Coturnix japonica: one gene and its partner. The protein of the gene in region 2 binds, or shares a complex with, the protein of the main gene of each other region. Links are inferred from orthologs where the notes say so. Each region holds a gene or a part of one and is shown on either strand. Other genes may lie near its edges.

What was found. The genes of interacting proteins can lie anywhere in the genome.
Region 1: STX18 (region 2) and BET1L share a complex: the UniProt entries of both Homo sapiens proteins name them as parts of the SNARE complex. The link is inferred for Coturnix japonica from reciprocal best matches to the Homo sapiens genes STX18 and BET1L.

What each region holds. Positions count from the first base shown.
Region 1 is NC_029520.1:1,401,999-1,405,966, reverse strand, and holds BET1L (BET1-like protein), read right to left. Parts: upstream 2,693-3,968; 5' UTR 2,569-2,692; coding exon 2,550-2,568; intron 2,409-2,549; coding exon 2,317-2,408; intron 1,973-2,316; coding exon 1,916-1,972; intron 1,217-1,915; coding exon 1,049-1,216; 3' UTR 506-1,048; downstream 1-505. Other genes in the region: RIC8A (synembryn-A), read left to right, coding at 3,009-3,092. UniProt on the Homo sapiens protein: Vesicle SNARE required for targeting and fusion of retrograde transport vesicles with the Golgi complex. Required for the integrity of the Golgi complex.
Region 2 is NC_029519.1:71,390,241-71,394,361, reverse strand, and holds the start of STX18 (syntaxin-18), read left to right. Parts: upstream 1-1,218; 5' UTR 1,219-1,280; coding exon 1,281-1,442; intron 1,443-4,121. UniProt on the Homo sapiens protein: Syntaxin that may be involved in targeting and fusion of Golgi-derived retrograde transport vesicles with the ER.

The sequences.
Region 1 (3,968 bases), on a different chromosome or scaffold from region 2:
TGGATCCTGCCACAAAGACAGGCTTTTACCTTGTGTATTTAGGGGCATCCCATGTGTTCCCACATATATACAGACATACCGCACCTTGTAAGGTCACCCTGTGTTCCCCTCCCAGCCCCAATTATACCCCACAGTCTCTCCCCACCCCAGTGATCGATGCCAATCCCATGTTGTCCCTGCAGCCCCCATGACGTGTCACATCATTCCATTCCCTTGGTGACATCCCCCTGCACTAGGGACATGCTGCACGCAGCCCATGTGTCACAGTTGAGGACAATAAATTAAATGCATGCAAGTTAAGCCTTGTCCCTGTGTTTGAATGCCTGGGGGTGGGAATGTATGGGGCCCTATGGGTTGGGTGCAGAGGAGCACTTGAACACCTGAGTTCCTGCTAGGTAGTAGGGGGATGAGGGCATACCCAGCCCAGGCACACGTTTATTGGGGTCATGCTGGATTAAGTCACACATTGATCATTCCAAAGTTTATAAATCATTACAGCCTAAACTTTGCAGCTTCCAAACCTCTGATTTATTAAACCTGTATTGATAACCATCTGGATTTGTCAGATATGCCAGGTATTAGTAATGGAGGTAAGACAAAAGTATCCCTTAAGAACTGGCTGCAAGACATGGATGAGACGAGAGATATAGGCATGAACATCAAAATCAGGTGATATGTGGAAATCCAGTTAGAATGGTCTTTGCAGGGCAGGCAGCTGCCAAGGAAAGGTGACAGATGTGATGCTGCAGGAGCTGAACAACAGTGGCATCACCCAGGGGCTGACTGAGCTCTTCCAGGTCTGGGTGCTGCAGGGTCTATATGTGCGGTGGGATGTGTCATCCAGAGCAGCCTGGTGGATGTGCTGTCAGTGAAATACTCATTTTACCTCCAAGACCAGCCAGAATGGTGACAAAACACTGGTTAAAAGTTATCTGGAATGTCTGTTGGGAAGTCCCAAGGATCCCAAAGCAGGGCAGATCTAGAAAGGCGCTGAACAAGTCTGTCAATCACATTGATTTAGTTCAGTAAAACTACGCAAGAACCAAGATCAAGTCCCAGCTTTGGACACAAGATAGTAGAGGATGAAGAAAACAACAACCAGTCCTACAGAAACAAAGCAGAGTAACTTGCGGTTCTCCCTCCCAGAGCGTGTCATGGTGCTGAATCGCTTCATGCTGCCGGTCAGCAGCCCAGTAGCACTCAGAAAATCCGAATCCTAGAGGAGAAACAAAGTGCAAAAAGCAGCATTTCAAACTGGAGAGGCAGCCCATGAGGAGGGTCCAGCTTCCTGCTTAAAGAACAACTGCAGCAGCTGCGCTGTAACTGCCTGTATCTCTGTACCTATCGTGTCTCTCTTATGAGGAACTTCCCTGCCTGCGCTCGTGGCAAAGGCACAGGTAAATACTGCATACCAAGTATCTCTACATAAAGCTAGCACCGTTAATGCCTGCCAGGGCAGGCTAAAAAGCACCAAAACCACGCAGTTTCTTTCCATTAGTTCTCTTTTTTTTCTTTCAGCATGGGGCAGCATACACTTGTAACACCACCAGGTGGCAGCAAACAAGTCTTAAAGCAATTCATTATCATTTCGACTCCACGTCTGTTTTCCTTTCTCATAAACTACCTCCCACTTTTTGCTCACGTTTCTCCTGAAATATCCCTAAATCTTCTCTAATAGAAGCACAATTGCGTGCTGATTCGGGGCTTCTCCTTTAAGATCTCTTGTCTTTACATCTCTCATTCCAACTCTCCACTCTTTTGATTTCTAGGCTGAACAAATATCCAGTTCAGATACTCCAAGGCCATACACTGCTATTAAGGTTCCAAGCTATTAAGCTTCCAAGCTCCCACCTTTGACCAAACTGGTCCCAACATTGAAATTCATGCTTTTTACCCTTCTTTTTTGGTTCCTTACCATGCTATCCAGGTAACGGTTCTGTTCATCAGCATCTTTATCAATATCCAGAGCCAGCTACACAGCATAAGAGAGGAAATTGACGTTAATGAACACCAAGACAACCTGGAACGCATCTAGGCCCACACTAGAGGATGTGGTGGAGGTTTGTTAAGCACAGCCACAAAACAAGGCCTCTCACTCACTGCAGTTTGGGGTTGTGGGAATCCTTTTGCTGTGGAAATAATCTGGGAAAGCTGGCAGAAACTTCCCTATGTTGGACATATGACAACAGCTGACGGACCAGCACTGCCTCCTACTGCTACACGTCAGCCATCGTATGCCCACAGCACTGAGGAAGCCCACACAACTGCGTTGTCCCTGAGACCCTGCAAGCGTCCATAGCAGCGCCAGCAACTCACCGACTTCAGCCTGGTGACTTTGCTGGCCAGGTTGTCTGTCATGCGCTTGTTCTCCACGTCCAGCATATCCTCCATAGCAACCGCATTCTGTCCTGAGGAGAAAAGAAACGCGTCTCATCATCCCGACTGGGGAGCATGGCACATCCCCAAGATGGCGGCGGGGTGCCCCAAGATGGCGGCGGGGCGCCCCCTTTAGCAGCCCCTCAGCGCGCCCCTCACTCCTTCCCCCTCACCTCGCCCCCAGTCCGCCATGGCGGCACACGGCGAAAGGCGGCTCCGCCCGGCAGGAGGAGCTCCGCCTCTGTAAAATGGCCGCTGGGCCTTCGCCTTCCCTGTTGGGTAGTGAGGAGCGGGGAGCTATTACGGGAAGCACCGTGATCTGCTGCGGTAATCCTCGGGTGGGGAGGGGGGGGTGTCCCAGCGCTGTGCTGGGAGGGCATGCATTAAACGTCGGAAAGCAAAGAGGAAAGAAGAGGATTAGAGGGGCAGAGAGGCTGTACGTGGTTCACCCGTCTGCTTTATGGACGCAGCAGTGAGCCGGCTCGCTTGATTTTTGTTTCTTTTTCCCCACCCCCTTTCTCACTGCCTCTCAGTTCTCAAGGATCGAGGTCCCTTTGCACCGCTGTTATCCAGGAGCTCTGGAAGCCTTTCCTCTCTGCTTCCCATCCTGCTGTAGCTGAGCTGTTGGTATCATGGAGCTCAGGACCGTAGTGGCCACGGTGGAAAGCGGGGAGCAAGACGCGGTCCTCAAGGTGCTTCAGATCTACAACCAGGAGGTGAGTGAGCATCACACCTCAGCCTGATGTCACCTGCTGCTGTCAGCAAGCCTGGAAGCAGGTTGGGCCGTGTTATGGGTTCACAGTGCTGCCCAGCTATCCCATCTCCTCTGAGCATCTGTCTCTGCATTATTGCCCTGGAGATGTCATAGACTGCTTTGTTTTGTTACTTGCAAGCTGCTTCTTAATGATGCTTTACTAGGAAGCAGCTAAGAAGCCTCCCTTTATCTTGTTTATGCTGGAAGAAAAGTACATGGGAAGGATTTTCTTTATTATCCAGATTGCAAGTTAAACCCGGTAGGGGAATAATCATGGGCATGAGGAGTAGGAGGAGCCTTGATGCTAGGCAAGGTTTGGAGGTAATAAAACTCACACCTAGGGAGGAGCTGCAGGTAGGATTGTTGTGATTTGTAAGCAAAAGACAATTAGGAGTTGGTGTGAATGGATGCTGGGATTGGATTAGGGTGCCTGATCTGAAAGCTGGCGCATGAAATAATGAGTGTAGAACATGAAAAAGACCGGGTCAGGAAGCTGAAGTGCGAGTGACTCTAACCTTAGATCATCTGCAGGGGTAGTTCCCTTTTGAAACTGTCTGCCAGGGAAATTTCCTTCAGAGGGTTTCCACCAGGCTAGGGCTGGCCCTGCAGATCTGTGACTCATTCTGCACCATTCTGAAGTAGGAGGGAAGCTGGTGGGGAAAACCTGTGCTTATCTTACAAGCATGTGCACTTCCCTTCCTGCACTAACTGTTTCCAGCAGTCGGTTTTGAAACAGCAGGTCCCTTTTAAAAGGTTGGTCTGCAGGATTAGCGTTGCTGGCAGCAGCTGGTGTGCTGGAGAAATTAGGATAGTAAATGGCATTTGTTGTGCAACCGTG
Region 2 (4,121 bases):
GTGAGAGCAGTTAAAATCATGCAAAGTCTGTGGGATCCTAAAGTATAATATAGCATACACTCACTACCACCACTAGTTATTTGGTCAGAAGTTTTCACTGCTGTGCCACACAGTTTCCTTTCCAGTCACTTATCTTCTGCACAGCACATGGTAATGAAATTGCCACAACTAAAATAATAGCAAAGGGTATTTCAGAAAGCTTTCCTCTGATTCAGTCAAATTAATAATAGCTGTGCATTGTAGCTCCCTGCAGGGTTTGTCCTTGGAGTACCAGTGATACTGACCAAATGTGGAATGGCAGTAGATCTCAAGGGCCTTAACAGGCACAGAAATCACTACACACATTACAGGTGTATTGAAGTTGTTCTATCTATTGTGTTCAAGAAGAAACATAGCACTCCAGAGAGACCCAGAAAGACTCAAGCTGTGGGCCTACATGAACACATGAGGACAGGCTGAGAGAGCTGGGGCTGTTCAGCCTATAGAAGAGAAGGCCCTGGGGGAGACCTGAGGGTGGCCTGTCAGTATCTAAATGGGAGCTGTAAGAAAGGAGACAGACTCTTTAGCAGTATCTGTTGTGAAAGAACAAGGGGAAATGATTTCAAACTAAAATAAGGGAGATTTAGATTGGATATAGGGAAAAAATCTTTTACAGTGAGGGTGGTCAGGCACTGGTAGAGGTTGCCCAGAAATGTGGTGGCTGTCCCATCCCTGGGGACACTTAAGCTCAGGCTGGAACAGGCTCTGAGCAACTTGATGGAGCTGTAGGTGTCTCTGTTCATTGCAGGGGAGCTGGACTAGATGGCCTTTAAGGGTCCTTTCCAACCTCAATGATTCTATGAAATAACCAATAATCAATATATTAATACACGTACGGCCATCTCCAATGGAAATTTCACAGCAGCACAAAACCCATCCCCTGGTGCAAACCTGCTGAAGCCCATTAATCAACTCCAATTAACCCTTCTTTCCTAGACTGAATTCCAAGGCCGACGGCTTGGATGACTCTGTCTAACAGCACCACCTGGTGACACCTGCCGCGACACCACAGCTCGGCGATCCACACGTCAGAATTTGGCTGGAATATAGATTTTATTCCTCAATCTTTCGCTCCGCGATGGGAGGCAGCAGAGCAGGATCCCCGCACAGCAACACCGCGATGCTCCCTTCCCACCGCACCCATCCCTGGAGCCGACCGAGCGGAACGCGCTGCGCGGGGCCGCGTTGCTCGGGGAAGGCAAAACGCGGAGGCACCGGTGGACGGGGCCGGGCTGGCCGCCATGGCGGTGGACATCACCCTGCTCTTCAAAGCCAGCGTGAAGACGGTGAAGACCCGCAATAAGGCGCTGGGGGTGGCGGCTGGCGACAGCGCTCGGGATGAGCTGCTCAAGCGCAGCGCTGCCCGCTCTAGGAGCGACTTCACCGGGCGGGCACGGGAGGTGGTGAGTGCGGGCAGCGGGCGGCCGGGGCAGGGGGAAGGCGGCGGGCAGCCCTCCCCGGGGAGCCGGGGCGAGAGAGTGGCTCCTGAAGGGCCGCAGAGAGAGTCGGGGCAGCGCTGGCCCCAGGCGGATGTGGGCCGGGAGCCGGAGCTGATGTGGCGGCCGGAGGGATCCCAGCCCCACCCCCCGCACCCGGCTCCCGTAACTCCAGGCTGGGGATCCGGGCTTCCATGGCCGCGTCCCCTCGGTGCCCACGAGCCCTGGGCTGCCATGTAGGTCGGCTCCGGAACGAGTGGGCGAGTCTTTGTAGTGCCGAGTTGTGCCTTATTGCACATCTGTTTCTTGTGTCACACGGTATGGCGGGTCCGTATATGCCGGGTCCGTATGAACTGGGGTGTCATACAGCTTGGAGAGACAAGCACTGAGAGGCGAAGGAATTGCTGAATTGGAGGCTGATCAGCGTTAATAATATTACTAAGTATGATTGTAAACTTGTTGCAGGTTCTTTACCCCCGTACTGAGCAAAGGGTGCGGAGGGGGGATAGTGGTGTCAGAGCACGGTTTGAGTAAGGCCCTTAATCAGGCACTGGAATGCACATTGGAGGGGTTCAAGGCCAGGTTGGCTGGGCTGCCTGCTCAAGTGGGTGTCAGCCCTGCCCATGGATGGGGAGGGGATTGGAGCTGGGTGATCTTTAAGGTCTCTTCCAACCTAAGGCATTCTGTGATTTGGAAAAGCTGGGAGGAACAGCCTGCTCAGTGTGCTCTGTGATTCTCTATGAGGAGACAGACTTCCAGAACACACGTGCTAGTGTAGGGCTGAGCAAGGGATGGCAAGGAACCTTTGGCCCTTAAGAAACCAATGATACAGTGATGGACGTTCCATTGCTTCACATTTATGAAATGCTGTTAGAATTTACTGTTTGGGTATTAGTGCATTTTGGTCAACAAAAACAATTTTGGTTATTGTCCTTGGACTAATAGTTTGACAGAACAATTTTGCATTCAGTGAATGTGGGTATTAAAGATTGTTTCAATCACACTTCTATAGACTTGCATAATAACTTGGTTTTGGTATCTGATTTGATACCAATATATAACCAGTACAGATATCACATAGGACCAGCTTATGTGACACTTGTTCTCAGCTTTACCGTAGTCTTATACCAACAGGTTGGCACTTGCACTGTCTTAGACAATCTTATTTAAGCCATCTGCTTTACTTTTTATGGCAAGTACAAGCTATTAGGAAGATCATCTGTCAAATATATACTTATTTGAGAATATTGAAGGGATGAGATTTAATCACTGCTGACTGTTCAGTATGTGTTACAGAAATGAAATTAAGGTTGATACTGCTTATTAAGAGAAATGCAATGAGTGGCAAAGCTGAATCTCACAACGGGCTTGATTCCAACCAAAAGTTATTACTTTTTTTTTTTTCTGTTTTGTTAGGGAGATTATCTGGTTTTTAATGTTCTTGCAAACAGCTAGAAAATTTAAGTGCTACAAGTTAAATTCTTCAAAAGCAGTATCTGAAAGCATGTCCTTGAGAAGGGAAAATTTGAAAGGTTAATAGTTTCTGAGCCTTTAAATGCAGGATTTCAGAATGATAGAATGTCTGTGATTGAAGCTGTTGAACGCGTAAGAATGCCAGATTCGTGGGGCTACAACATCTGTTCTTCATATAACTTCTTTCTCTGTATTCTGTAGAATGATCAATTCTTTTATATTTTATTTCATTTTTTAGTCCATATAATAGGCCCATATTCACATCAAGAATATGTTTGGTTGTGCTGTTTCGTCCTCTATAATGAGCAGGAAAAATCCCCATGTTCAAGTTAGTGGCTTCAGAACACAGTGAATTACATCTGAGTTTTTAGAAGACCAAGAAATATTCAAAATGCTAAAAACAGTGGAGAAAAATGTGGTGCCTACTAGCCTGGTCCCTACTAGCAACTAACACACAGCCCCAGTTATAGCACTGTTTAATTTGCCTTTACATGTGAAAAGGAGACAGTCAAGTGAAAGCTGGGTCTGCTTTGTTCTCTTGCCAGAGAAACCAGAATGTCAGTATTAGCACTCAGACTTTTTTCAGTTATACAAACATCTTTAATAATCCAACAATATTGTATTTTTCAAGACCACCTGCCAATTTCCAGTTAATTACTGGATCAAGTATTCCTTCTTTTCTTGTTGAAAATGTCAGTTAAAAAAATAAAATAACCCGAATCAAAGAATCACCAAGATTGGAAAAGACCTGCTTACTGTATTAACCTTTTTAATAGGATAGGACATGCAGTTGCCAGGTCTAGAATAGCCCTGAATAAAACCTCAATAAAACCTGAATATGGCCTCAAGTTGCACCAGGGCAAGTTTAGGTTGGATATTAGGAAGCACTTCTTTACAGAGAGGGTATTTAAGTACTGGAATAGGCTCCCCAGGGAGGAGGTTGAATTGCCATCCTTGGATGTGTTTAAGAGCCGTTTGGATATGGTGCTCAGGGATATGATTTAGCAAAGGGTTGTTAGAGTTAGGGTACTATGGTTAGGCTGCTGTTGGACTTGATCTTCAAGGTCTTTTCCAACCTGGGTAATTCTATGATTCTATGAAAACAATCTCCAGAACATCCATATCTGAGAACTAACATTAAAGTGTGTGGCAGAACACAGCTGGTAAGTCAGT